3 linked regions of the Cricetulus griseus genome follow. The protein of the gene in region 2 purifies or fractionates together with the protein of the main gene of each other region. This does not show direct contact. Links are inferred from orthologs where the notes say so. Each region holds a gene or a part of one and is shown on either strand. Other genes may lie near its edges.

Region 1 (11,121 bases), on a different chromosome or scaffold from region 2:
CCAGAAACAGTGGCACACCTAGCACATGGAAGGCTAAGGCGTGAGGGCAGTACAGGCTTAGGGCCAGCCTAAGCAGACCAGCAAGACCTGAAAAACAGCAGCACCACAATGACACACACCAAAAGGGAGTCAAGGTGACTTGTACTTACAAATTTCCTAAAATATATTTCTGCTAAAACATAAAGGCCATGGGTTTGGGGATTTCTTAATTTTTTAAGTTAATCTCTTTACCTAATGGGAGGGCAGGCCTCAGTGTGCAAGGAGGTCAGAGGGCAATTTGAAAAAGCTGGTTCTCTCCTACTCTGAGTTCCGGGGATTGGCCTCAAGTTGTCACATTTGGTGGCAAGAATCTTTATTCACTGAGCCAGCCCACGGTAGTTGTTTTAATTTTATTATTAAACATTATCAAAAATATCTAATTAGAGCTTGAAAAGGGTGTGACCCTTGCAGGGGATGGTACAAGCAGGCCATCCTGGCTGTTGTGGACCTTCACAGGAATACTGCATAGATGGCACGGGTCTGCAGTGCAGATGTGGCCGAGAGCCAAGTGCCACTGCTGCAGGCAGCTCAGTCCTGTTAGGCAGGGTGGCTGCAGCCCCGCCCTGTGAACAGACTGTGGCTGGGAGAGCAGTCTATGATCTGGGTCCTGTCTACTGGCCCATACCCAAGCAGTTGCAGACTAAGGTGCTCACTCTGGGAGGGTTATTTCAGAAAAGGAGGAAAGGGGTGGCACTAGCTACAGACACACACACATATATATATGGTGGTCTAAAAAAGAGAAGACTAAACACCCAGTTTCTTTTACCTGACCAAATGTACCTTAAAACACACTGACCTCCACACAGCAAGACCCATAGTGACATGTGACAAGAAAGCTCAGTCACAGAGTGTGTACTTAGCATGCCAGGCCCTGGATCCCCAGCACACACACAAAAAGTCCTCTGGTCAGATCCCAAGACAGTACCTATCAATTTTTTAAGATCTACAAACAGCCTGGCAAACTCACACAAGGATCTGTCTACCTCTGCCTACTGAATGCAGGGATTAAAGGTGTGTGCCACCACCACCTGGCAGATTTTTAATATATATCATAAGTAAAAATAGCCGGGCATTGGTGGTGCATGCCTTTAATTCCAGAACTTGGGAGGCCGGGGCAGGCAGATCTCCGTGAGTTCGAGGCCAGCCTGGTCTACAGAGTGAGTGCCAGGACAGGTTCCAAAGTTACACAGAGAAACCCTGTCTCAAAAAACAAAAAAACGAAACAAGTAAAATAATTTTCAGAGAAGTGCCTTATAAATAATAAGGAAAGCTGAAACACACCATCTCAGCTACTATCCCCATGCAGGCCACTGCTCTGCAAAAACCCATCCCACCAAGACGGAGCCTAACTTCCAGGGACCAGGCTTTAAGCAGCACAGCTAAAATGCCTAAAAATGTCTTGCAGTAGTCAACTGGCATGGCACATTAGCAGGGCCCAAACCATCTCACTAGCACCTGTGTCTTGTGGCAGGGAACCCATCCACCATGTGTCCCCTACCCAAGCTGGCCTAAGTAGACACACGTACCTAGCAATGTCTTAGGGTTTGTCAAACCCAATTGCACCACTGGGTTGTCCAGGATTGCCTGAAAGAGAGGGCTATTTGGATCGATGCCCTGGTCCAACTCCTCAGGGGATGGCTTCCGGTCCCCTAGCAGCCATTCACACTAAAAACCCAAGAACATCAGAGGAGCCATTAGTACCTTCTCAAAGTACCTGAGGCTTACCTTTCCCTTTCTGTGGTTCTCCACAAGCCTCCACTGCTGCAGTACCAGGAAGGGGCCCTAACATGAACAAACCTGGTCCACATTCAGCCAGGATAGAAACAGAAGGAAGCATCAACCAGACGTTTTTAGCAGACCTGGCGTTGCAATTCAATTTGACATGACCTTGGTCACAACACAGTCCCTAACACTGGCTTTACTTGAGGGAACCCCATTATGACAATATCTCTCCACAGCTAATGAGCTTGGAAAGTCTGCATGCAGAACTGCGTCTCAGTTATCTGAGCCTCAACTCCACACACAAGTGAGGAGGTCACAGTCCTCCCTGGACAGAGAGACTGGCAACAGCTGCTATGTGTTCATGGCATGGTATTCAATCTTTTCTGTTTGTTTGTTTTGTTTCTTTGAGACAAGGTTTCTCTGTGTAGCCCTGGCTGGCCCTGAACTCAAAGACCCGCCCGCCTCTGCCTCACAAGCGCTGAGACTGAAGGTGTGCACCAAGACACCCATCCTATGGAATTTGATCTTATAACAGTTAAAAAACCCACACAAAAGGCATTGTGGGTACAGGATTTTCTCAGTTTCTGTTTGAAACATCTGCCCTAAGTATTTCACATAATAATAAGTACCATCACCAACTATGTATGGAAATCCCAACACAAGGGACGTTCCCACTGCCACATGAGGTAAAGGCAACATTAGATGCTCAGAGTGGGATTGGCTGGCACTCACAGCTGCATTCTGCTGGTTGTTGTTCACTCGGAGTGCATCAATCACTTCCTTCTCATCAAAGCCCATCTCCATCAGTGAAATGACAGCCTAAGAGGGAAGAACAAGCTGGTCAGCACCTCACCAGAGGACACCGCCCACCAAGGAGCATTACCATATGCAGTACAGGTTTGTTTCAGTCAGTCACAGGCAGTGGATAACACTTAGCACACATGAGGTAGGAAAGGGCACTGGGACCCTTGCTTAAATTAAAGCAAGGGCAAAGCATGAAATGTTTTGTCTCTACAGCCAAGGACAGAAGTCAGAGCCTTGGAAGTGCATTGGTACTGCACATGACTATACCAGGGCAGCTGACTAAATACAGGCCCTAGCTCACCATTCTCCTCAGTCCTGCAAGAGTCAAGTCCCCATTTATCTCTAGAATCTCTTGACCTGGCCAATGGACTGCTAAGGAAAATACAAGCCACAGACAAGGCCCTGAGAAAACCATGTATTCAACATGCCAAAATCTGGAGAGCAAGTAGTGTGAGCCCTGAGTGGGAAGATCTGTACCTGAAGGAAAGTGAAAGATCAAAGGAAGAATTAAAACCCCAGCAAAGAACAGGACAGGGAATAAAGAACACAAAGACAAGAGAGCATCAGCCTGTGGTAATGATGAGGTGGGGCCATGAGTGTGCATTTGTGGCAACTGAGGGAGGGTGGACAAGTATCCTGGATCCTGGGTCCTTATCCCAGTAGCCAGCCAGCATAATGGACTCCCACAACATGTTCCTCCAGCTCTCTGGATACTGCCCACCAGTCCAAAGGCCACAACAACAGCTGCAGGAGCACACTTGTGACAGACAGAAGCTTGCACACTCAGATTTTCAGGAGATGTCACTGAGCAGAAAGAAGTCAACTGGACCCAAACATGAATTATATAATATATAATTATGAAATATATAATGTATATATATGATTCAAGTCTGCCCAAGTTTCAATGGGAACTCCCATCCCACCCAGACTCCTGGCCTCCCAGCTTCCTTGCACAACACAACCACAAAGTCAACCTCATGCTGAGGCCCCCATTACCTACCCGAGCATCGGCTCGGAATTCCCTTTTCCTTCGGATCTTCTTGAAGATTTCTGTGAGCTCATCCCGGACTTCCTCATCTCCAGCGCTAGTTCCCACAGCAGCTTCAGGAGAGGTGGAGGTGGTAGCTGCAGCACCTGCCCCTGCTTGGGGGTCGTGGCCTGGAAGAGGTGTGTCAATAGCTGGATCTTCGGAGTGTTCAATTAACCACTCCATGGCCTGAGGCACTGACATGCTGAAAAGAGACGATTCTTCTCAACTCCCCCAGGACAGTCATTAGAGACTTTCCTATCCCATATGCTCCAACAACATGTGTTTCAACAGAGACAACAAGAATAGCAGCAGCAACAGTGGCAGATGATCTCTTGGGATGGAAACCTCCACATAGCCCTTACCTTGAACTCCCAAGACCCAACAAAGCAAGCACAGACATGTACCCCAAACAAAGGGACAAAGGAGTCTAGGTCCTAGGTCCACAGCACAAAGAACACAACGATTAACCAGCTCTAGCCTACAGCATTCATATGGGACCTGAGTAACTGAAACCAGAAGTGTTAAGAAGACTATGAAAGAACTCCTGTCCAGACCAGGGGCAAGTTTGGCTTAGAGCTCTCCTAACTTGAAGGTGCAGGGCACATTTACAGACTGATTTTTTGGCTCTCTTAACAGCCAGGTATGGTGGTTCACACCTTTAGTCCCAGCTACTCAGGAGCCTGAAGCAAAAGGATTGCATGAATCCAGGAGTTCAAGACCAGCATAGGTAACAGAGATCCTCAACACACACACACACACACACACACACACACACACACTTAAAATAAACAATAAAAAAAGTATGATTCCATCAGAGTTTGGGAGGGGGAATCACAGGGAAGCCCAGGCCAAGTTCCAAAAAGGGAAGAAAGAGAGCATACTGACTGGTTCAGCCGAAGGGCCTTTGAGGCTCTGCTCTCAGGAAAGCCCATTTCTGTGAGCTGCCGTAAGGCAGTCTCATCCACTCGCTCATCCTCATCTTCATCCAGCATAGCTGAGAAAAAAGAGAAAACCTGTCATGAGGGGATTCCTAAGCCCTTTGAAGCTCCGTAGTCTCAACTGCAAAGGCTCTTAGCAATTACTGATGCCACAGAAAACTCAGGCCCTAACATCAGCTCTTACACATTAGGAATGGCCACACAACAGGCCAGGAGCCACACACACCCACCCCATAATCAACTGAAAGCAGAACCTGCTTTCAATGTGAGGGCTGGGGACACATTCTGAGGCTTGAGCAGACAGTTGGCGGGTGCAGGCTAGGACCCACTCATACCATTTGCCTTCTTAAACAATTCAACTGCATCAGGATTCAGTGCTAACAGCTTCTGTGCCACCTCAATGAGAGACACCAAGATCTTCCGGAGTTCGGTCTGGAACTGTAGTAGAATGAAGAAAGAGATCATGCCTGGCACAGTGATGCACACCTGTAATCCCTGCTCTTGCAAGGCTGAGGCAGGAAGACTGCTGGGAGTTTGAGGCCAACCTAAGCTATACGGTGAAACCCTGTCTCAAAAAGAAAGAAAGAAAGAAAGAAAAGATCATTTCTCTGAATGTCCAACAAACCTAATTAGATCTGCAACTCTACCCCTGAACATAGCCCTCCAAATCTATGAGAGCATTTGGCCTTCACCTTTAATCCCAGCACCTGGATGGCAGAGGCAGACAGATGTGAATTCAAGGCCATCCTGATCTACAATGAGACTCTGTCTCAATAACAGACTGGCGACATCAGAGACTCCTTACCTCCACTCTAGCACCAGTCCCCTGCCTGATACTGGGCCTGGAGGTGGGACATTACAAGCCTAAAGCCTCCTGAGACCCTATCCAGGGTTGGACCCACAGAAACCAGAGAGGGACACATGTGCCAGCCACTGCAGAAGAATTACAAAGCTCTTATCAAATGGAACTCTTTGGGGCTGGAGAGATGGCTCAGAGGTTAAGAAGACTGGCTGCTCTTTCAAAGGTCTTGAGTTCAATTCCCAGCAACCACATGATGGCTCACAACCATCTAAAATGAGATCTGGCGCCCTCTTCTGGTCTGCAGAGACACATGCAGACAGAACACTGTATACATAATAAATAAATAAATCTTAAAAAAAAAAAAAAAAATGGAACTCTTCAAAAAAGACCCCAGAGAGGTTCGGCTTCCAGCAGTACCAGTATGGATCCAGAACTGATAAAGCTGAATGCTGGCCACTTTCCACAATTCCTGCATACAGAAGCATACTTTATCATGGACTAACCCACGTTAGCATGCTGTAGGCTTCTGACTTAGTTTTCTTGTCCAAAGTAATTGGGGAGCTCAGATTCCTCCCTGGAAGCTTTGTTGAATTCAGAGCAAAGTCACTGCATTTCCCTACAGCTGTCTGTCCAGGGCTATAGATATCTCGTCAACTTTGTAGTTTGAAAAAAAAAAAATGTAATTTATAGAAGAGTCCAAAAGTAGTAAAGAGTTCCTGAACATTCTGTTTCAGATTCCCTTTTTTTTGTTTTTTTTTGGGGGGGAGGATGGGGGTGGGATGAGGGGATGACTATAACATCCATGTTAGCCTCAAACCTGAGCTCAAGCCATCCTCCTGCCTCAGCGTCCTGAATGTCACCACACCAACCCCAAGCACTTTTAAAGAACTTCTTGTTATCCCACAGGACATGCCCCCAGTTCCACACCAGGCAGGTACTCACGTCTCTCATGGTGGTTTGAACTGCAGTCCGGTCTGTGCTACAAGCAGGCAGGTTGGCTGTTGCCCGGAGGATAGCATCTTTGTCTGGAGCCTTCTGCTCTTGTTTCTTCTGAAGAGAAAATGATTCAAGTCAGAAAGGAAGAACCCAAGAACATGAGGAGTATGACAACAAACTTGGACCAACAGCCCACATGGAGAACAGTAACCTCCTAAGCTTTAGCTGTGATGATGCCCTTGAGCTAGAAGATTCTGGGAAGTTTCGGGCACCGCATTAGAGGCAGAAGCCTAACAAGATGCTTAGGACATGATCTCACGTGCTATAAACCATATGCAGGTGAAGACAGAGAGGTTGAGGCTGCAGGAGTGGCAGTCCTGTAGTACTTTGGTGGAGCTGGGGCTGAGGCCTCCAGGGCTGTAGTGAAGCCTCCACGAATGAAAGGAAAGGATGAAGGTGGCAGAAGCTCACAGATAAGGAAGACAGGAGAGAAAATCAAACCAGCAGAGGAAGCAGCACTTGGCATGTTCAGAAGGCACAAGAAGGCACACACAGGATGCAAAGAGCCCACAGGATGCAAAGAGCCCACAGGATGCAAAGAGCCCACAGGACACAGCCTACTAAGATGCAACCTACTCAAGAGCACTGGGATACTGGTGCCAGAAAAGACAGGCCTGGGATCCAAGAGCCAGAATGATACTTGTACCTACTGGCCTTGGCCAACAACAGTCTGGTGAAACCTGAGAGCCTAGAGTGAGAGGCTGTTCTGAAGAGAGGGAGGGAAAAGAGGGAAGGGGAGAACCTTCCAGCACCCTGCTACTGCTTTGCTTCCTGTTCACCCCAGCTACTCACAAAATCATCAAACCAACCAGAATAGGTGAGACTGAGGAGTAGGATGGGTGCAACAAGTTCTCTACCCCAGAGAGCTCAGCAGCTGGCACAAGCCATATAGCTTCCAGGGCTCGCAGAGGCTAGGGGTGTAAGGAGGTAGTGAGGAGGAAGAGGAGGACGAACAGGTAAGGAAAGTGGGTACCTCACTACCTGCAAACCAGAGCCACACCAACCCAGCTTGTCCACACCAGGCAAGAGCCAAAACAGCAAGGTAAAGGGGTTACAAGAGCTAGTTCCAGGACGGCCTCCAAAGTCACAGAGAAACCCTGTCTCGAAAAACAAACAAAACAAAACAAAACAAAAAAAAAAAGAAATTCCATAACTCCTCAGGGCACAGGGATCTCAGGTTTCTGTCAGACTGGAGCAGGAAAAGGAGTTGGTTACAGAAGCCAAACTGTAAAGGCCAAAGTAAAACTGTCAGTTCAGATCAGATGTGGAACACCAAGCCTGAAGACCAAGATGAGTCACGTTCCACCTACCCCTGTGAAATGGTTAATCTTCACAGTCAACTGTGGGTTGAGAGAAGTTAGTAAAGCACACCTGTGGTATGCCTGAGAGGGTGCTTCCAATGAGAATTAGCTCTTGAGAAAAAAAAAATATTTCCCTGCCCCTAGCTCTGGCTGTCTTGGAGCTCACTCTGTAGACCAGGCTGGCCTCGAATTCAGAGATCCAACTGCCTGCTTCCCCAGGACTGGGATTAAAGGCGTGTGCCACACCAAGCCTAAGGAACTGTCAGCTGCATGAAAGCGATCTCCCACAACCTCAGAAAGGAATGCACAAGAGTCAGCTGAGCCTTCTGTCCTCACAAGCCTTAGTACTGAACCTCTGAAACTGTAAGCAAGTCTTCCCAGTTAATTGTTTCCTTTATAAGAGTTGCAGTGGTCATTGTGTACAGTCCCTGGTACAGAAGCTGGTACCAGGGACTGGGGTATTGCTGTGATAGGCCTAACCATGTGCTTGGAAGAATTTGGACTGTGGTACTTTGGGTTTGAAAAGTAGTGGACTCCTTGAGCACTGCTTAATAGGCCATACTAGTAGGAACATGGAAGACAGTGGTGTTAAGTTATTTGAACTTTGGGAGGCTCACTCCATAGAAGAATTTTCTAACTCTGAGTGAGAATTTTTGAATTCTCACTCAGAGAAGAATTTTAGTATGTTGCCTAGAGATATTCTCATGATATTTTGGTGAAGGAAGTGGCTGCCTTTTGCCCTTGTCCAAAGAGTCTGCCTGGGGCTTAAGTGAAGAGTTTTGGATTAATTCCACTGGCAGAAGAAATCTCAAAATATCTTAGTATAGATTCTGTCATATGGATATTAGTGTTAACTCTAATGAAGATATGTAATAAAGAGGAGCAAGCTGAGCAAGGAAAAAATATTTGAGGAGAAAAAGGGCACCAGAAAGTGGAATGGAACTAAATCCTCTGTTCAAGGAGATAAATGGATTAAGAAATGGAATAAAGGGGGTGGTGACCTCAGGGCAAGATCCCACCCAGCTAAGTTTCCAACTTGTGAGATGAAACTGAAGAAAAGTTTAGAGCTAGGGGTGGTGGGACACACCTTTAATCCCAGTACTACGAAGGCAGAGGCTGTGGGGAGGAAGAGCTCTGAGTTTTAGGCCAGCCTGGTCTAGAGATCCAGTTTCAGGACAGCCAAGCTTAGGCAGTGAAAGACAGAAAGCTGGCGAAGATGTAATTAAACAAGGGGGTCATGTTCCAGCCCCAGTAAGCAGCAGAACTTGGCAGCTTTGGCCATACGGTTCTGGCTTTAGAATTAAGGATATAAGAAAGGAGTGATAGAATAAAGCCACTAAGGCCAGGCATGTGTCAGGGGTGTCCCTGAATGGAGGCCCAGAGAGGCCACTGCCTGAAGAGGTGAAGTGAAAGCCTGTATTGCCTTTAAAAAACCCAAGATGTCAGAGATGCCAGACTCGTGGGATACCTGCCAAGGAGAGCTGCTGACAGGGAGTAGAAACAGCCCAAAAGAAAGAAGTTTGCTGTGGTAAACAAAGCTGAACAAAGTTGGAGATCTGAAGAGCATTTGGACATCAAACATGGAGCTGCAGAGTTTGGAGTTTGCCCAGGTGGTTTTTGGTCTTGCTTTTGTCTAGTATTTCCTCGTTATGCTCCCTTCCCAGCCTTTTGGAATGGTGATGTATATTCTGTGCCATTGTATGTTGGAAATATGTGATCTGATTTCTTAATTTGATTTTTACAGGGGGATTATAATTAAGGAGATTGCCAGGTAAGCAGAAAAGACTTTGGACTTTGAAACAAGTTTGAGACTGTTATAGACTAGGGGGACTCTTGAAGTTGGACTGAGTGCACTTTTTGCATTATGATATGACTATAAGCCCTTGGGGGCCAAGGGAGTGGACTGTGGTAGTTTGAAAGAAAATGGCACCCAAAAGGAGTGGCACTGTTAGAATGTGGCTTGTTGAAGGAAGTGTGTCACTATGGGGGCGGGCTTTGAGGTCTGTTTGAGGGAAAACAGTCAGTTGACTTCCTGTTGCCCGTAAGATGCAGGACTTTCAGCTGCTCCAGCACCACGTCTGCCTGCATTCTGCCATGCTCCCCATCATGATGATAATGGACTGAACCTCTGAAACTGTAAGCGAACCACCCCAATTAAAAGTTTTATTTGTAAGAGTTGTCGCGGTCATGGTGTCTCTTCACAGCAATAAAAACCCAAACTAGAACAGTAAGTAAACACTAAATAGACTTCACCCAACCTTCTATTATCACTGGAGGGAAGGAGGCTAGGAGGGGAGCTATATCCTTATCACTAAGAAGCCATAATCCAACACTGGTAATGGCAGAAAGAGAATGAATGCAGAGTATCTAGAAAGCAGGGAGAGAACTGCCAAGGGTAACAGCTGGAAGACTAGAGGCGTTCTGGGGTGGGTTTCAGTGGCAAGCATAAGACAGCTAGATCTGTCCCCAACACTTACAAATAGTTATGAATGACTTCCTTTAGGAAATGTGAGTCCAGCATGATATTTTTTTGTTAGATTTTTAGTACTCTTTTAACTCTTAATAATTGCATTGTTTTTTACTTAGAATTTTCAATAATGCTATGGTGTTTCACTCTGTAGTTATATACTAAGTTAAGGCAGCTCTAGCAAGCTACTAGCTAGGTACTCTGAGTAAGTACCCTAATTAAGTACCCTAAGCAAGCAGCAGGCCACACAGTTAGAGGTCAGAACTATGTTCTTAATAGTTACAGGGACTTCAAGTCTAAACGCTAGAACTGTAATCTGAGCTCGCCATCAGCTCTGGAAAGCAGGGGGTGGCCCAGGATCTGTCTTGTGAAGATGGATGGAGCAGCCTGCCCATTTGCTGCCTGACTGTACCCACACCCACACCACCATGGCCAGGTGGCCAAAGATAAGGAGGGCGTGAAGCCCAGGCACTCTCCTATATCCCTGGACCCAGAAGAGACTCCAAAATAGCTCATCTGCTATGGGGCCATGAATCCAGCCCAAGAGTTGGCCTGATCCTTCCTTCCCTGAGATCAACACTCTCCCTGGCATTTCAAAGCATATATTAGAAAGTCCAGACCCCTGAAACAGGAAAAGGTGTTAAACAAAGGTGACTGCCCTTTAAAAGAGCACATCCTGGGACTGTAGAGACAGCTCAGCAGTTAAGACTGCTTGCTGCTCTTCCACAGGACCTACGTCCAGTTCCCAGCACCCACTTCAGGAGGCTCACAACCATCTGTAACTCTAGCCCCAGGGCGTTAGATATCCTCTCTGGCCTCTGCAGGCATAGAAACATAGACTTGCACAAATATACAAATAAAAATTTAAAAATTAATCTTTAAAATATCCTTTCTGCCCACCAGGCACAGGTATGTGATCTAGTGCTGAGACAGGCTACTCACAGGATGTATCTTGCACTGCCTAAGAGAACCTTGCTGGAGGATAGGCTCTGGAGCAGCCCCTACACAAGTAACAAAGTGGG
Region 2 (7,536 bases):
TCACAAGTTGCCCACTTCCACAGCTGAAGCCTACATCCATTGAGAAGGAGGTCTTCCCAGTTATGGCCCAGGAGGGGCAGCTATATGCCATGGAACTTCCTGGTGAGGCAGAGAGGCCATAGGGTGAGGGGTCGTCTGTGGCTAGGCAGAGCCCTCTGACTCATCTCTCCCTCCAGGCTTCTGGATGGACATTGGACAGCCCAAGGACTTCCTCACTGGCATGTGCCTCTTCCTGCAGTCCCTGAGACAGAAGCACCCAGAGAGACTGTGTTCAGGCCCTGGCATTGTGGGGAATGTGCTTGTGGTGAGGCCCTTGCCCAGCCTGTCACTAATCCTTTCAGATTTGGGAGACAAATGACCCACTCTGACTTTCCTCACCACTCTCAGGACCCAAGCGCCCGTATTGGTCAGAACTGCAGCATTGGCCCCAATGTGAGTCTGGGTCCCGGTGTGGTGGTGGAGGACGGCGTGTGTGTCCGGCGGTGCACGGTGCTTCGGGATGCGCACATCCGCTCCCACTCCTGGCTTGAGTCGTGCATCGTGGGCTGGCGCTGCCGTGTGGGTCAGTGGGTAAGTCTGTGAGCTGAGCTGGATGAGGACACGAGCAGGGAACCTGTGTGCTCCACTGACAAGACTTGCTTCCCCACCCCAGGTGCGCATGGAGAACGTAACAGTGCTGGGCGAGGATGTCATTGTCAGTGATGAACTCTACCTCAATGGAGCCAGCGTGCTGCCCCACAAGTCTATCGGGGAGTCGGTGCCGGAGCCTCGTATTATCATGTGAAGGATATGCAGGGCTGGCCAAGCCCCCTTCACCATCACTCAACACCTCAGCAGACCCTGGACTTGGCGCCGTCTGTCTAGGGAGGGATGGAGAAATCCGAAGCTGTTGGACATGTGCCTTCTGATGGGGACAGAAACTGACAGGATCCTGCTGGGCATAACCCACAAGCCCTACTCCCTCAAGAAGAGCTGGGGCCAGGGCTGTATGGAATAATAATTTAATGCTCACTGTGGCCTGGATTGCAAGTCAAGCTCAGGCATAATTAGGGCCATGGCTGGGCTGCCACCATTGAGGCTACACACGGGCAGATGGGTGGAGATGGTAAGAGTGAGGGTGATGGGGGAAAGGCCAAGAGAGCTCATAAATAGGGCTCAGTCTGGGTCTGATGGTGGAGGCTCCAGGACGGTGCAAGCTGTGTGCATCGGGCTGGCCTAGGTAGCTGAGGAGGCGGCACTTGTGCTGGCTGCCTTGTCCCAGTCCTCTACGGATGCAATGGTGGCTTTGCAGAAGAAGCAGTCCTTGTTGTTCATCAGGTGCTGGTTGATGCAGGCTCTACAGGAGGAAGGGGAGTGAGCACTGCCTTGTGTGGCCTAGTTGCCACCCCAAGTCCATGTGCCCACTTACTTGCAGGATTTGTGGCCACAAGGCTGGAACACAGCAGAAATGGGGTGGGCATAGCAGATTGGGCAGAGGTCCTCTTCACTGGTGGGCTACGGGATGGAGAGTGAAGAGTGGGTTGGGGCTATGCCTGTACCTACCCTGGTGTATACGGATGTATTAAAATGGCATGGGCCGGCCTGTGTGTCTTAGCCCCACTCACCAGGGAGGCAGCAGCTGCCTGGGCCGACGCAGCTGTCAGGTGTGCCAGCATCTGCTCCACCTGGGCGAGCTCCTCTGCACTGATGTAGTCTGTGTCTGGGTTAGTGGTAGGTGGTGTCAGGCCCCTCCTAGGCCCAGAGCTCAGTGCCTCTTGGATACTCCCAGGCAGGAAATTTGCTATTCCTGAGGATCCTGAGCTCAGGAGACCCTGAAACTCTTTCCTGACCCAACCCTGACCCACTTACAGCTCTGTAGAGAGAAGCGCTTCCGGTCAGGGGCGGGCAAGGCAGTGCCAGGTGCTAGGGGCTCTGGCTGCCCCAGGAGGTAGCATATGGACCGGAGCTGGAAGCAGGGATCAGCCAGGAGCACAGAGGTGGCTTGCTCTGTCCTAGATGGGAAGGTGCAGAGGCAGTGGGGAAGCTGTGAGCCTGTGTGGACATTGTCTCCATGGGGGAGGGGGTGACGTCCAATCCAGAGGCCTCATTATTATGCCTGCATTCTTTACATCTTGTTGTTTACCAACCCTCTGAAGTCCTGGGTCCCAGTAGGTCCAGAACGGCCTATTACCAGTTTAAAGGGAAGAGGTGTTGTTGATGGCTCATAGGGGAAAGCTGCTTGCTACCAAATGTCACAACTTGAATGTGATCCCCAGGAACCACAGAATGGAAGAAAAAAACCACTCCCACCAATTGTCTTCTGACTTTCTGCATGACACCTCCCCACACACACCAACACACAAGTAAATCTAAAGGGAGAAGGGTGCGGATTCCACCTAACCTAATATACATTAATCCTTCAAAATCACTTAGAGAACATTAGCCACAAAAAACTTTCTCCCCAGACTTAAGCTCTTTTGCTCTTAAATAGGGAGGAAGTCAGGCTTCCAGCCAAGCGAACTGAAGACACTGGGGCCCTCTGGTGGTCACACTGGGTCTTCGAGTGCCAGGGCTGCCCCGCCCCTTAGCAGTAGGAGCCAATGGGAGCTTGGGTCCCCACCCCTGGGCAGTCACTTCCTAGTGAGTACTTAGAATCCAGTCAGAAAAGCGTTTGAAGAAGCTAGCGAGCTTAAAGAAGGGCTGGGGCCCCACCTCACAACCCCAGACCAGAAGAGCAGGAGGCAGCTGGGCCGGTGGAGCCGGCATTGTGCCTCTCAAGCCATGGGCCACAGGGAACCACAACCCGCAAGGCTGTAGAGAAGTGGGTGAGTCCCGGAGCTGTGGACAGCACTGAGCCCCCCATCTCTTCCCTGGTGGCCACTGCCATGGCCGGGCTGGTGGTGCCAGGCATACTGCTGTGCATGCTGAGTGCTGGGTCAGGCACCTCAGATCTGGAGGCCGCTCTGCCCCCTGCTCCCCACGACTGCCCCAATAACTGCATCTGTGCTGCCGATGTGTTAAGCTGCGCTGGCCATGGCTTACAGGACGTGCCGGTAGCATTGCCTGCCACGGCTGCAGAACTCGATTTAAGCCACAATGCACTCGAACGCCTGCACCCTGGCTGGTTAGCACCCCTCTCCCGGCTTCGTGCCCTGTACCTAGGCTACAATAAATTGGATGTGCTGGGCCATGGTGTCTTCACCAATGCCAGTGGCCTCAGGACACTTGACTTATCGTCTAATATGTTGAGGATACTCCACACGCATGACCTGGATGGACTGGGGGGGCTGGAGAGATTGCTCCTGTTCAATAACAAACTGGTGCACTTGGACCCGGATGCCTTCCAGGGCCTGAGGATGCTCAGACACCTCTATCTCAGCTGCAATGAACTCGCCTCTTTTTCTTTCAATGGTCTGCATGGTCTGGGGACCACCCACCTGCGCACTCTAGACCTATCCTCCAACTGGCTGGGACACATCTCCGTCTCCGGGTTGGCTGCACTGCCAGCTTTCCTCAAGAATGGGCTCTACCTGCACAACAACCCACTGCCCTGTGACTGCCGCCTCTACCACCTGCTCCAGCGCTGGCACCAGCGGGGTCTAAGTGCCCTGCGTGATTTTGCACGTGAGTACACATGCTTGGCCTTCAAGGTCTCAGAGTCCCGAGTGCGCTTCTTTGAGCACAGCCGGGTGTTTGAGAACTGCTCAGCTACTGCAGCTCTAGGCTTAGAACTGCCTGAAAAGCAGCTGGACACACAGGTGGGGCAGTCCCTGAGGCTCTACTGCAACACCAGCGTGCCCGCTGCACGAGTGGCCTGGGTTTCACCGAAAAATGAGCTGCTTGTGGCACCAGGATCTCAGGATGGCAGCATTGCTGTGTTGGCTGACGGCAGCTTAGCGATAGGCAGGGTGCAAGAGCAACATGCGGGCATCTTTGTGTGCCTGGCAACTGGGCCCCGCCTGCACCACAACCAGACACTAGAGTTCAATGTGAGTGTACATAAACCTCGCCCTGAGCCAGAGGCTTTCAACACAGGCTTCACCACATTGCTGGGCTGTATCGTGGGCCTGGTGCTGGTATTGCTCTACTTGTTTGCACCACCCTGTCGTGGCTGCTGTCACTGTTGCCGGCGGGCCTGCCGTAACTGCTGCTGGCCCCGAGCCCCCAGTCCACTCCAGGAGCTGAGTGCACAGTCCTCAGTGCTCAGCACTACACCACCAGACGCACCCAGCCGCAAGGCCAGTGTCCACAAGCATGTGGTCTTCCTGGAGCCGGGCAAGAAAGGTCTCAATGGCCGTGTGCAGCTAGCTGTAGCTGAAGACTTCGATCTGAGCAACCCCATGGAGTTGCAGTTCAAGGTTGGCTCCGAGTCAGCCAGTTCCACAGGCTCAGAGGGTCTCATGATGACCTAGACCGCCTGGGTGTCCCCACACTGGCCATAGACCTGCTGCTGCTTGCCTGGTTCACTGATGCAGTCTAGAGAACTGACAGATGCTGGTGGGATGCACTGTGCCTGCTCCTAACTGCACGTGAGCCTTGACCTGTCCTGGGACCGTTCTACTCACTGGTAAAGGGACTGAGGCTCCCCCACTTGCCTCCTGCTCTGTCTGGCTCAGGATAAGGCCTCAGACCACTAGAGCCTGCTTCCCCTAGGATCTCTGAGTGACCAAACGTCCCATGAAGATTAGGGACCAAGACCATCTGGTAAGAGCCCTTGCATTAGAGCTCTGGGACCACCTCAGGAATTGATGCAGATGTTATAGGCGTGGTATAGACGTGGTATAGACGTCAAGCATACCACCTTCCCTTCCTTGCCAGGGAGCTCACCAAGGAGGGAGAAGGCAGCTCAGAAGATCCAGCTCCCACTCTAGGATGGGAGGAATAAATGAGCCCTTCCTGTGCTGCAAGAGAACCCTGTCTATTACCACCATCCAGCCTCCGGAAAGCTCTACAACTCCTGTGGAGTCTGGTGGGCATGCATGACTCTTTCAGGACACTCCCGCAAGAGTAGCCCTGCTGTCTTCAGCCAAAGGTAGAGCCAATCCCATGGGCTCATAACCCAGCAGGAAAAAGCCTGGTGAACACGGCTAATCTGGGACTCATGTCCCTGGAGAGCAGAAGGCCTCTGAAGGACTGGTACTTATCTCAGCCTAATGGCTAAAGCAGTGTCCTGAACTCACATGCCTCTACCACTCCTGCAGGCAGTTAGGGAAGAAGGTCGGAGCCCCTCCCAGGAGGAGCTGGCAGCCCCGTGTGTGTCCTAGATGACTATCAAGGCACTTTGTAATAAAGATGGTACGTGTTCATTGCCAGGCCTTCCCAGATGGGTAGCTTTGTGTGCTCGGCTCTTGATCCAGCAGGGTGGCCCTGACCATCAGAGGATGGCACATCTTCCAAGTTTTGGCATTTATGCCCCTGCCAGAGGCATGGCTGCAAGCTAATCCTACCCAGCCAAAGCAGCTGCTGTTACCACCTGCTCACACCTCACCGTCTACCTTTGCCTCAGTGTCCCAAACTAGATTCTGAGGTCCATTTTGAGACGGAGAAACATGTACACTGAGTCCCTGCCCTATGAGCCCCTCCTCAAAGGGCACACCCAGTTCCCATGGGGCCAACAGTCCCCAACACTCACTCTGAGGCTGGACCATGCACCAGGAGGCGTACCAGGATGCCGGTCACTGCCACCAGGATAGGGTAGTGGTCCACACTCTCCAGGCCTGAGGGGAGGGAAGGAAGATGAAGTACTCATGTGGTTCCTGCTGTGGCAGCAGCTCGAGTCCTGCCCGACACCACTGGCCCTTCCCACCATTCTTCCTACATAGAGGCAAACTGAGGCTGGGAGTGCAACAGTCCTGGTACCGAATGGAGAATCTAGCACTGTTGCTCCTGGCATAGAAACTAAGGCCTTGGTGTGCTGAGGTGCAGGGCATCTAGATCCTTACCAGGAAGCCGTAGGGTGACTACACGGTCAAACAGGTTCCTCTCAGCTGTCACCCGGTTCAGCACCTGGTTCAGCAGCTGTGAGGGCAGGAGCCTATTGGTGGATGGCAAGCGCACCACTTGAGCCATCCCCGGGTCCTACCCTCCTTGCCCAGATGGACACACCTGTGCAAGACGCCGAAGCAGCATCTCAGAGGTAGGACGGGACCAGTCAAGGAATATCTCAGGCACCAGTGTGATGGTCATTTCCAAGACTCGCAACAAGCTAACCGAGAGGTCAAAGCAGGTGGCACAGACCTTGAGCTGCCGGCTGTCCACAAAGTTTCGCTCTAGGCGTTCAGCAGCCTGTTGAATCTAAGTCACCAACAGAAAGGCAGGTAGCAGTCAGAGAGGCCTTGCAACAGTGCTTGGCCTTGGCCTCTGCCCACCCCTACCCCAACACACCATAGCCCACCTCCTGGATCATGCCGATGAACTCAGAGAAGGCCCAGTTAAGCTGGTTAAGGACACTGTTGAGGAAGCTAGGTGCTACATCAGGGCCTTGTCGTAGAAGATCTGCCATGTGCTGCTGTAGCAGGGTGGAAGGGCAGGGCTCTGGGGGCAGAAGAAAGCCACATTACCAGGGACCTCCAGACAGGAAGCCCCTGCCTGTCATACACTGGAACAGAGGTGTAAGAACAAAAGGATGGCTCTCTAAGAAGGTTCCGATCATGAAAGGAGAGGACTGGCACAGAACTGCTTGGAAGTTAGGAGCAAGCATGCCTCCCTTCCTCCTGCTGAGCAAGCCACCACACCCCACAAGCCCAGAGCAGCCAGACAGCTGTTGGCCCCACGTGAAGCAAATTCTGAATCATATGCCTGCCTGCCTGCCTGCCGGCAAGTGTCAGATATACACAATGAAGACCATTCCCACCAGTATCAAGGCTAGCTTCTGCAAGAGCCCAGATTGGGCCCTGCTGTCCTCTGCTGCCCTTGGCCTGGCCTTGGCATATGGCTTAGGTGGTGAGTGCCAAGTCTGGGCTGGAAGGGCAGCAGTAACCAGAGCTCTCAGCTGCAGCTGGCCCAACGTACCTCTCCACCCCTCTGATCAAATCAATAGTCCCTGCACACAGGGGCGGCATCTGCCCCCACCACCCTCCCCACTTCAGTTCAGTTCCGTCCTAGAGTCTAGACAAGGCATTTAGCAAGGACTTGCTCCGTGAGTCTGCACAAGACTTTTGGCCACTCTGGGAACACCCAGAGACCAAGGCGCTGGCTGCCAGGGCAGAAACTTTGGTGAGGGAAGTGAGGAATGTGGCAAGCCCTCTGCAAGCTGCACAGCTCAAGGTCTTGGCCAGGCTCAGGTGAAAACCCTTGGGCTAATGAGACAGCACAGCTTCCTCTGCTAGCCAAATCTGAAGCCCACTTTGGGTCCTGATCAGTTTCTAGTTTGTGATCCTCTTGAGTCAAGGGTCCAAGGCCAGAAGACAACAGAGAAGATACATATCCCCTCGGAGATATGGCTGAGGGAAAGGAAGGGGGCACAGGGCAAGGAATAGAGTGTGCGCCCTACATAAGCTGCCAGCAAGCTGGAGAGACATGACCCCCTCCCACTGCGAGCCCAAGGGGAACAGAAGG
Region 3 (11,121 bases), on a different chromosome or scaffold from region 2:
TTGAATGAAATCAAGAATGACCCGGTGGGCCGGTAATCCTCCAGCACCTTTGGATTCACTCTGCCTTCCTCCTCTGGATTGATGCAATGGAATTTCAGGCTTTGGTTTACACAGTGTGGGAAATGGCCAGCAGGCTAAATTTTGCCTTCTATAGGTCCTTCCTGCCCATAATTGTGGGGCATTTTGTTCAGAGATAGCAGTGAGCTGTCTCCAGGCAGAGACTCTGTAAAGCTGAGTTTGCGGAAGGATGTCTCCACACCACTGTCACAGATGCTGTCACTGTCCTGGAGCTCATCTGTGGAGAAAGCACAAATTCATTGGTGGCTTGGCTGGGCCAAGGCAATGCCGTTGTTCTTCCCCACTGTCCTAGTCATCATCTCCAACTGTGAACTGAAGAGAGTCTCAAGGGAGGAACTGCCCAGACGACACTGGTCCGGGGGCATGCCTGAGTGGGGCTGTCTCCGTTGTTAACTGAGGTAAGATGGCCTACCTACTATAGACCGCATCCCTTCCTGAGAGGTGGTCCTGGGCTGTGTAAGAAAGCTAGGAAAGCATGAACCAGTGAGGCAGCAAGCAGCAGTCCACCATGGTTTCTGATTTAGAGTTCCAGCCCTGACTTCCCTCTATGATGGATGGTAAGCTGTAAGCTGAAATAAACCCCTTTCCTCTAAGTTACTTTTGGTCAGAGTGTTTTATCACAGCATTATAATAAAACCAACCCCCACCTTCTACAGCAGTGGAGCTCCCTGACCTAGATCTTCTGTGGACAGCTGTACAGAGGGATGTGTTTGCTAGCTTCCATCAGCCACTGCAGCCCACCTGGCCACCCATGCTCAACAGCGTTGCTTACAGCGGCATGAAGGGCATGAGATAGCAAATGACATTAAAAACAAAAACTGCTGTAGTCAGAGTTGGCCAAGAGGACATCTTTCTTTTGAAATCTCGACTTCTGTTTGTTGGAATCCTTTCTGATTTCTCTTGATTCAGAATATACATATTTTCCCCTTAGAAACAAGGCATATTTTTCTAACTGCTCTATTAGTTTTTTATAGCCAGGAAAACTGCTGAACATATGACAAAATAAATTCATAACAGAAGTAGGAGCTAAAAATGAGATCTCTCTTTGGGCTGTATGAGCTATTAAATAACACACATTGCCTAGAATTTTCTTGGTGTGAGAAAATGAAACTATTTTGTAAAAAATGTGTCTATACTAAAAACTTAAATTCTGTTTGTTGGAAAGCATCCTTGGGACCTGACCAGAGCAGATTAGTCTCTGTACAGAGGGACTAAGGAAACAGAAACCTAACACACACTAAGCAAATGCTTGATTCTCATCATTGAATCTTAACACCAGAACTGAGACTTCAATGACAATACCGTGGTGTTGTCCTGGTGCTAACTCCAATCAATAGTCTTTGTTATCTGTTACGTAATAGAGACTGTGGAGTATTTTAAAGGCTTGATGTTTATTATGGTTTGGATCTTAAAATAACACCAAAAGCTGTGTTAAGAAAAGGCCTGTTAGTAGCCTGTGACATATGGTGGGAGTACAACTTTTTGAAGGTAGGGCCTCAAAAGAAGGAAGTTAGGTCACTGGGGGTGTGGCCTGGAAACAGATACTGGGCTCTGGCTCCTCCCCATCTCTGTGTGCTTTCCGAACACCCTGAAGTGACAGGATTCCTCTACCATGTGCTTCGTCCACAATGAAGGGGTTGCCATATCTGAAGGCAACAGACCATGGGACCTATAGACTGTGAGCCCAAACCAATCTTTCCTCCTTCTGAGGTGTGTGTACATGTGTGGAGTTCACATCGGGTGACTGCCTTGACTACTCTCCATCTTGTCTTTTCTGACTAACCAATGAGCCCCAAGGATCCACCTCCCTTGCTGTCCCTTCTTGCTCCAGGCTTGGGCAACTGGGGTTACAGGTATTTGTCATCCTTCTGGCTTTTTCAAAGACACTGGAGGAGAAAGTCAGGCTGTCACATTTGCCACCGTCCTGGCTGCTAAGTATTTACTTTTTAATCATGATAGGAGCCCCATTTTGTCACATCACTGTGGTGCAGAGAACAGATGGAGGGAGGGAGTCAGCAAAGAAACAGCCACTGCCAGAGCTCAGGCAAGAAATGAGTGAGGATGGGCTGGACGGGGCAGCTGTCACAAAGAGAAGGGAACTTGCTGGGCTGAACAGGTGTTGAGCACCAGAAAATGTTCATGGCAACTCTTAGATTTTGTCTTCGTCTGGAGGAGGGCTATACTTTTGACAGATGTGGCCAATATGAGTTTGTGAAGACTAAAGAGTTGTGTGCAGATAATAGGATTTATTCAGCCATCAAGAAAGATGCAATCTGCAGGGAAATGGGTGGAATTGGAAAACACTAATCAAGGTAAGCCAGAGATCCTAGCTTCCAAAGGCCACATGTGTATTTATGTGGGAGTAAATATGGGTAGCGGCCAGGAAACTACGAAGGGGTCTTTGGGGGGCTTTAAAAGGAGGGAACAGTGTAGGGAGGGTAATAGAACACAGGTGAAAGTGGAAGTGAAAGATTGGGGAGGAAGGGTACAAGGGAGGACAGGAGTGGGGCATGGGCGGCTGGAGGGTGGAAGAGGGAGTGGTGAGAGGAAAAACCAGGACTAAGTGTACAGAAATGCCATAAGGAGACCAAGCGAACACACAGACACACACGCACGCACGCACGCACGAAGCTCACACATGCACACACTCTGCAGAGAAGCATGTGTAGGACTGGGCCTGCCAGTAAAGAGCAGTGAGGGGAGGCGGCACAGTGCACGTGCTGCTGAAAAGCCCTGAGTGGACACTGAGGAGCACCATCAGCCACGACTGACACATCAACATCATGAGCAGATGGTGGCTCGTCTGGGACATGTGAGGTCATATGAGGAGAGTGGTGGGGACAGAACCAGGCCCAAGGGGTCAAGAAGTGGCCAGAGGTGACGAGGTGGGTAGAAACTTTAAAACTATTCTTCTGAGAGGCTTGGACCCAGCTAAGGAATGTAAAAGGAAGTGATGTTTTATTATCTCTAAACTTATGCTCTTTAAGGTTGAGAAAATTACAGCCTGATAACGAGGTTCCCACATCAGGCGGGGGAGGAACTGGCAACACAGAACAAGAGGCAAGAATCAGGGAGCCAGGACCTGCTGGAGATGAGAGGGAGGTCCCCAGGTAGAGGGCAGTCACACAGCCTACTGAGCCCAGATGGAAGGTCTCCCATGTGGGTACTGGCATGGTGCAAAGATGAGAGACTGCTAATTGTTTCTGTTTTTTTTGTTAGTTTTTTGTTTTTAATGGAGTCTTGTGGCATACAAGGTGAGCAGGAAGAAAGGGGTGTTGAGTTTAGAGAAAGCATAAAATGGTCTGAATAAGGTAGAATAACAAAATGGTAAGAAAGACAGGGTTCGTGGTCTATACTGAGCTCCAATCCTACAAATTTATGTTTTGGGGGAATGACAGGTGGCACTGTTAATGTGGGCAAATGAGTCAGGACCATGAGTGCGGACGGCAGCTGAAGGAGACGGCTGGTGGAAGGGTGGAGGAGCTGAGGGAGGGTGGCATGGAAGAAACGGTCATACTTTATGCATATTGCCTGGGTGCTGTCCCTTGTCTTGTGAACGCAGGGCTATTCATCTCTCTTTAAACCTTTAGAGAGTCTCTTTAAATTTAACAGATATGAGCAATAGTGTTTCTTCAACCCCAACATCCAATGTTTAATAAGAATGCCAGTGACCCATGTACCGATGTGAGTGTCTTTGGGAAAGGCCCCTTCATGTGCATGGGAGCATGGTGGGGAGCGAGTGGCGTGCCACAGGGGATGATGTGTCCAGGAAAAGACTGGGAAAAGGAACTGTAGCGCCACATCACAGAGCAAAGGAGATTTCTCAGCCTCTTTACCTAAGTGCTGCCTTGTGGAAGAAGATGAGAGAGGCAGCATGTGGGCCTGAGCAGTGGTCACAGGGCTGGAGGCTGTGGTTTCCGGGGTGCAGAAGTCTGCCTGGATCACTTCAATGGCCTCTGTGTAGCCCATCTGTCGCAGGGCCTCCATCAGCTCTTTGATGGTGCCCCCAGAGACCTGGTAGGAAAATGGAGAGTATGTTCGTGTTCCAGCCCCTTCGCAGACATCTATCCCTTCTTCCCTGTGTCTGCTCCAGAGAGCCTGGTGGGTCTGGGGAGTGCAGAGAGAGGAGTACCCGAGGAAATACAGTGTTTAAGTTCTATTTCCCATCTTGGACCAAAAATCACTCAGGAAATCACAGGAGAGATGGAGAGGGAGAGGAGAGGGAGATGGAGAGGAGGATGAAAGATAGGGAAAGAAAAGAGGGGCAGGAGAGAGAGAAGCTTGTGAGTTTACTGACGTAGGGAGACTGCTTGCAGTGACATCTGGGCTCAGAAGTCAGGGAAGACAGTGGCTAACAAGGACAGCCTCATGCACAATAATCTCCCCATGGTTTTCTCCTTTTTGGTTTAGAATTGTTCCAATAGGAGTCACCTCATGAACCCATGGCCCTGGGTCCCCCTCTTGGAAACAGGGGCTGTGCACACCGATCAGAGCTTAGGTCCCCGTTGTGTGGTCAGTAGCATTTTGTGCAGGAAGGCTCTGAGGACGTGGAAACAGGGCATGTCTAGAGGCAGGTGGCCAGTCTTCTCAGGAAGACAGGCTTCCATCCTACCCTGGGTCCCTTTTGCCTCCCAGCGCCCTAGGCGATGGCTGGCTTTCTTCCTCAGAATTACTTCATAGAGGAGGGATTGTGCCCTGGTCAGTGATGCTAGTGGTCAACCACGAACAGTCACACAAACAACTACAAATGGCAGGTGGCGCCTTCCTTACCTCGTAGTTGTCCATCAGAGTTTTAGAAGGGGCAGGACTCAGCCGGAAAGCATTATTTAGGATCCCCAGACCTAACTTCTGTGCCAGAGTGGCCCAGTTTTTGTCTGGATCAGGGATCTCCAGCAGCTTGTAGAGCTGCAGCCTTGTGTCTTCTGTCAGCTGCTTCATGTCTCCTAAGGAAGAACCACAGCGGCTTTACCCTTCCAGGGACAATCAGTCGGAGAGGACCCGTCATTGTCATTTTGCTCCCCAACTTCTGCTGGAAGCAATGAAGCTTCTAGAAAGTCCAGAGCCCCAGCTGAGTAGTGGCAGCCTATGCTTGTATCAGATCAGGGCCAGGCTCCCCCCTTTCCCATCCCCCAGGGCTCTGACTCTGAAATAAGAACAGGGCCTTGTGTAGCAAACCCTGTAACCATTCCCAAAACCCCGCCCCCATAATCCACAGCATGGGGCTGAGGGTGGGGGCTACACTGGCTGAGAGAATCTGCTCGGCCACAACTCACCTTGTGGTAGTACATCATCAGATGTGAACACAGGCTCATATGGTTTCCCATTCAGTATGTCAAAGACCTGTTAGACAGAAGAAAATAGGAAAATATTTCCATAAATGACGTTTAAAAGTCCTTAACCACAAGCTACCCTGGTGTTCTCTGAAGTTCCTCTGCTGGTGGTGCACAGGTTAGGACCATCACAGGCCACTGTGGTGGGTCAGTCTTCTGTGTTCCCTGCAGGGACACCCAGGCCAGCAAACAGGTTCCCAGGAGGCGTGCAGTATAGCTGAGGCGCTGTCGCACCCATACAAACTGACTGTCTCAGATCCTTCACTGTGTACTCTGCCCTCTGGCTCTTTTCTCTTGGCACAAATCCCTAGTGACTGCCTCCTCCTTTAAGTTTAACCACTGCTGAGTCTTAAGGAAGGGTTTTAATGTGTTCATGGAAATCCACAAAGGAATTCCTAGTTTATTTTTATGCTCAGAAACCCTTCACGCTAGCTTCTGATGGAGATGGCAAGGTTCTGGTCCCGTGCACTGAAGGGGTGACTCTTCTGTGGGTTCTGTGCTTTTCTAACTTCTCCCATCTCAACTCTGATCTGATTAAGCAAACAGCTTCACACTCAGGCCTCAGCTGACCTAGATCTCTCCTGGATAGGCATTTCAAGATAAATACGCCTCTTGCTCAGCAGACTTCATACAAAGACACGTTCTCTAAAGAGGAGAGTGCCAACAAGACCATCTGTTTTTAACACTCCTGAGCCACCGGCTCCCCCCAAACACCATGAGATGAACTGGGCAGGGCTCACCTGAGAGTTGGCAGCCATGTCCAGGGGTGTGGTACCTGGCACCACTCCCTCATCCTCTCCAGCCTTCTCCCAAGAGTCGTCCAGGTCATAGAGAGGCTCAAAGTTCTCCACCAGGGGGTCTGCTCCTATGGAATCAGGCAATATGGTGTTATGTAAAATCCAAAGCTTGTCAACTCCCAACTGCACACACAGTCACATTTCTAAGGGCAATTTCATCGAGCTCACAGAGGCAATTACATGTTAATGTTTATTTCTAGTAAAATTGAAAATGGCTTTTTAAGTTTTAACCTACTCTTACTGAAAATCTACCAAAGGATTTTTCTATAGCCAAGGACATGATTACAAACAAAGGACATCAAATACTCTGACTTGCAATTCTGTAGGATGTATTTCATTGAATGATGTACAGGTGGCAACTTACAGGGACCAGGATGCACCTTCAGGGTTAAGTCCTGAATCTTCAGATCTACATCTACCAATGCACACATCTCACCTGCTTCTCTGTCTTGCTCAATACAGCCAGTCTGCTGGATGTCTTGCTGCCCTCGGCAGCCTGGTCTGCTCTATTAGAATGTAAGCACAACACGGCCAGGAGTGTGATGGGGAAACGGGTTTGAAGTCCTGAGGGCCACACATGGTCCCTTCAGGATGTGACCTTCAGGATGCCAGCCTGGGCTTTTTGTCTTTGCATCACACAAGCTAATATTTGCTATCTTTTCATGGTGAATTCAAGTAAAAACCTTTACATTTGTAAATTATGCTTTTACTTCTGAAACAGTATGTATCTTTGGTTGGCTCAGAACTACATGGACCAAACTGGCCAAAGCTTGTGGCAATTCTCCTGCTTCAGCCACCTGAGTGTTGGGATTACAGGTGCACAACACTATGTCTGGCTAAGAGACATTTTTTTTTTTTTAAGTATAATCATTGACTTCTAAAATGACTCACATGTACTCAACTGGGGCTCCTTGGGTAAAACAAAGTACAATTTAACTAAGGAGAAAAAGGCTGTTGCTTATTTTACTTTGTTTTTCTACCTTTACTACACAATCCATATATAATTCAGTTTGCTTGAATCTATGAAGAATGTGCCTTCCACAAATCTTTTCTAAAATGACTTCTGAAGTAAATTAGGTATGTCTCAACAAGCCAGAAATGACAATCTCATCAGCCATGTGTTAACACAAAAGCACAAGGCATTGGAGACCAGATGAGCTGGAGAATTTCCTTATGCTTTACAGGACTAGAGAGCTACCTAGAAGATTGCCTTAGGAAGAAACACCGGGCAGAGGATAAAAGTCTGTAGGTCCAGGCTGTGGCACTGTGACTCATAGCTGTCTAGGACACTGCAAGTAGGGCCTGCTCATCTTTCCGGTCTGTCTTCTTGGCAGTAAAATGGGATTAACAACAACAGTACTGATCTCAGAGAGTTACTTCGGATTAAGTGTGGTAAAGGAGCGTGTATGTGGGAGGCCAGCACGGTGCCTGGAACACAATAAAGGCAGTGAATGCTAGCAAGCTTTAATGTTTCATGACGTGGCCATCAAGGTAAACCCAGGATCACAGGGCCAGACAGAGCCTCTGCTGTAAGCAAAGTGTGATCAGCCAGGTAGCTCTCCTCTACCCACACTTTCCAGGAGCCCAACTGCAGCTAAAGGAGGAAGCTTTAGCTTTGCACCCTCAGGCAGAGTTTGCATGGCTGGTGTCCATGTCCATCAGTGACCGGCAGGCCATCTTACCTGCTGCTTTCAGAAGAGCTGCCAGTCTGGTGGAGCCTCTGCCAGCTGCTATATGTAGCGGTGTAGTCCCATCATAGGTGGTACTGTCCACGTGGGCATCGCCCTATATCCACCCACAAAGAAAGAGTGAGCAGAAGGCCCTCGTCTCCACTTGTCTCTACCGCCCCACCTGCGTGGCCTCTCTCTATCTGCATGGCCTCTCTCTCAGGTTATATCATTCGCACCACTGCTGCACTGGGCTGGCTGGTCATTGAAGAAGTCCCCAGTTAGAGAGGGGCTGGAGCTGGGGATGCAGGAAGTGGCCCCTCTGAACTCATGCAGATGCTAAGCAGGGCCGAATCCTGACAGCACAGCTGGCACTGGCGTCATTCTTTGAAAAGACTTCCCTAAAATTCCCTTAGGGATTTAATTCAAGATCACAAGTATGCCCTTTACCTCCAGAAGCAGGCAGCCAGCCAACGAGATGTTGTCGTACTCCACGGCCAGGTGCAGTGCTGTGCGCCCAGACTTCTGCTCCTGAGCATTGACTTCTGCCCCAGCAGCCACAAGCAGCAGTAGACATGGCAGGCTATTGCTCATCACAGCTATGTGAATGGCATTTAGACCTAAGGCCAAGCAAAGATTCAGATGTGGGCGGGACTGGCAAAACTGGACTGTGGGAAGGAGGGATGCCACTAGCTTGCAGCACTTCCGGTTTCTGTTCAGGACATGCTTCAAAGGCTCTGAAGGCCCACTGTTCTGCTTTTAGAATTCACAAGCTCCTATTATGCTCACAGGAGACACTGAGTTACTAAATAAACATTCTCCACATAAATGATACTTTCTATAGTTTAAAGCCAGTGTTTGCTCAGGCCTGCTTTTTCCACTTAATAAGTAATGCTCCCAAATCACCTTAAAGGAGTTTGTTGTGGTAAACAGCAGAAATAGCCACAAGATAGGATGAACTCTGGTTGGCCAAGAGAACACTTGTGGGTCAAGGTCAAGGTCCACACATTTATCAAGCATCAAGCAATGTGGAGAAGCTGAGTGGGGAAGGTTATACAGCAATGCAGCTGCCCTTACCTTCCCCATTGGGGTGGTCTATAAGGAGTGTCGCCTTTCTGTTCTTGAGCAGGACACTGAGGATCTTGTCGTGCCCTTCTCTGGCAGCCAGGTGCAGAGCAGAGTTACCCCAGCGGTCCAGAAGGCTCAGGTCAGCCCCAACCCTCAGCAAGTCCTCCACCACATCTTCCTGCTTGGTGATTACGGCCAAGTGCAAAGGTGTCTAGTTAGAGAAAGGGCAGGAGAGTCGCTAGTTGGATGTGAACACCTGTAGCCCCTGGCTTCATAGTCATCACTGCAGCAAGAGTCGTACTTAGGGCCATTTGTCACTCCCAGATTAACTCTTGGCTTTGTCAGGGGCTTCCTGTTTCACATGGTAGGCTCATAGGCCCAAGGAGGGAACCAGCACGCAACAGTTAGAATTATAGGATAAATTTAAAATGCTTAGTACTTCTGCTTTTGTCTCAGTCCAATTGCTGATATTTTAATTCACCTAGAAGCAAATTTAGTTTTGTTTTTTTTTTAATTTTTTATCTACAGATGGTAATTCTGTATGTTGGCAAATCCAACCAGAGTTGCGGTTTTAATGAAGAAATGCAAATAGACATCAACAAAACAAAACAAAAAACAACCAACAAAGGTACCATCCTTCTACAGTGGCATGGAAATACATTTGCTAAATTAGAACACATTGCTGTGGGCTGGCTTCAAGAAGCCTACTGTTACAAGCTATACCTAACATCATCAAAGGTGTTCCTGGGTTCTAATTGGCATAGTTAGGACAATACAGCAGTCTCCCTAAGAAGGCTCAGGTAAAAAACAATCCCAGTTACTATACATAATAGGTAATGAAAGGTCTTTCTGAACACAACACTGTGCTTCCAGGGATGCAAGTGAGATGCCTGGAAAGCTGTTTCCAGAAATAAGCAAGACTAACACAATTATGAAAGTGTCTGTCAAAGAACCGAGATCACAGATAGAGAGTAACATTTCCTTCAGTACAAGCCTGTCTGCTTCCTAGGAGCGGCACAATGAAGTCCGGCTGTGCAGTGAGAACTTGCCCAACCTCCTATTCAGGGAACAGTTCCTGGCTGGAGAAGCAGGGGAAGGTGGGCCACCAACACCCAAGTTGCCATGGCGATTTTTTAGGTTTCTAAATCTTAACCTCTATAAGATTATATCTTAAACAGTTGTAAAGCTGGAGCTCAAGTTAATCCTTAGGAGCTGTCTGTGGAGCTCAGGGCTCACACCACCCTAGGAACCCAACTTGTGACCCAAGGACAGAAGGACACAAGGCAGACACTCCCTGCAATGATGTGTATCCAGCTGAATAGTGAGCAGCTAGCTAGGGGGTGCTACAGTATTCTCTTTGGGATCAACAACAACAAACCAGCTGTACAAGGAACTGTCTGGGTGAATGCTGTAGAGCCAAGATCCAGTACAAGGCTGCTTACACATGTACGAATGTGCTCATGACTATTTATATGTTCATTCACTCATTTTAGAGATAGTTGCCTCTGTCACCCAGGCTGCATTTGAACATCTATGCTCAAGGACTCTTCCTGCCTCAGCCTCCTGAATAACAGGGACCACAAGCATATACACCATGTTTGGCTTGGGGAAAAAAACCCTACAGAGCTATCTATATGTACATGCATGCAAAATTAGTAAAATCTGATTCAGATGTGTGGATTGTGCCTGCTGCAATATCCTAATTGTAATATTGTGTTAGGCAGGACGTAACTGCTGGGAAAACCTAGGTAAAGGAACTTCCAGTTTTCTCAAAGGAAATACCCAGGTCCTTAGTTTAATTTCACAGTAACTATGAATCTGTAAATTACTCTATATTGAACATTAAAGGAAAGGCTAATGCAAAGTAGGAAATACATGTATAAAACAGTATGGATTGTATATGAGTATACTAAAGAATGCATGTCCTTTGAGTGCACATGTATGAAGCCAACACCCAGGAAAGGAGTCTTCCTGCAAACATAATGGCTACATTTGGGGATAGGGAACTGTCAGAGTCTAGGCAAGGTAATTTTGAGTTCTTAAAATATATCCCTTTATGCTATTTAAAAATATACATATATTGAATTTATAATAGTTGAAAACATATAGCAAAAATAAGTGCATGGGAAGTACCCCATAACAATGTATTGGAACTTAAATAAAACAACCCATGCCAAACAC

What was found.
Region 1: the proteins of Rnf123 (region 2) and Ubac1 purify together in Homo sapiens (affinity purification with mass spectrometry; 7 studies listed by BioGRID and IntAct, counting the BioPlex papers as one, with this or other methods). This does not show direct contact. The link is inferred for Cricetulus griseus from reciprocal best matches to the Homo sapiens genes RNF123 and UBAC1.
Region 3: the proteins of Rnf123 (region 2) and Nfkb1 purify together in Homo sapiens (affinity purification with western blotting; 4 studies listed by BioGRID). This does not show direct contact. The link is inferred for Cricetulus griseus from reciprocal best matches to the Homo sapiens genes RNF123 and NFKB1.

Annotation. Positions count from the first base shown.
Region 1 is NC_048599.1:137,382,009-137,393,129, forward strand, and holds part of Ubac1 (ubiquitin-associated domain-containing protein 1), read right to left. Parts: intron 6,386-11,121; coding exon 6,278-6,385; intron 4,972-6,277; coding exon 4,869-4,971; intron 4,590-4,868; coding exon 4,481-4,589; intron 3,798-4,480; coding exon 3,566-3,797; intron 2,581-3,565; coding exon 2,494-2,580; intron 1,705-2,493; coding exon 1,566-1,704; intron 1-1,565.
Region 2 is NC_048597.1:216,245,000-216,252,535, forward strand, and holds the end of Rnf123 (E3 ubiquitin-protein ligase RNF123), read right to left. Parts: intron 6,514-7,536; coding exon 6,374-6,513; intron 6,274-6,373; coding exon 6,085-6,273; intron 6,014-6,084; exon of another isoform or gene 5,998-6,013; coding exon 5,922-5,997; intron 5,697-5,921; coding exon 5,612-5,696; intron 5,292-5,611; exon of another isoform or gene 4,392-5,291; coding exon of another isoform or gene 2,865-4,391; exon of another isoform or gene 1,992-2,864; coding exon 1,849-1,991; intron 1,700-1,848; coding exon 1,605-1,699; intron 1,495-1,604; coding exon 1,409-1,494; intron 1,337-1,408; coding exon 1,216-1,336; 3' UTR 986-1,215; downstream 1-985. Other genes in the region: Gmppb (mannose-1-phosphate guanyltransferase beta), read left to right, coding at 24-102, 177-304, 388-570, 653-784; Amigo3 (amphoterin-induced protein 3), read left to right, coding at 2,865-4,391. UniProt on the Homo sapiens protein: Catalytic subunit of the KPC complex that acts as E3 ubiquitin-protein ligase. Promotes the ubiquitination and proteasome-mediated degradation of CDKN1B which is the cyclin-dependent kinase inhibitor at the G0-G1 transition of the cell cycle.
Region 3 is NW_023276806.1:23,895,389-23,906,509, reverse strand, and holds part of Nfkb1 (nuclear factor NF-kappa-B p105 subunit), read right to left. Parts: intron 9,152-11,121; coding exon 8,950-9,151; intron 8,493-8,949; coding exon 8,323-8,492; intron 7,991-8,322; coding exon 7,888-7,990; intron 6,274-7,887; coding exon 6,149-6,273; intron 5,419-6,148; coding exon 5,352-5,418; intron 5,022-5,351; coding exon 4,849-5,021; intron 4,093-4,848; coding exon 3,915-4,092; intron 296-3,914; coding exon 135-295; 3' UTR 1-134.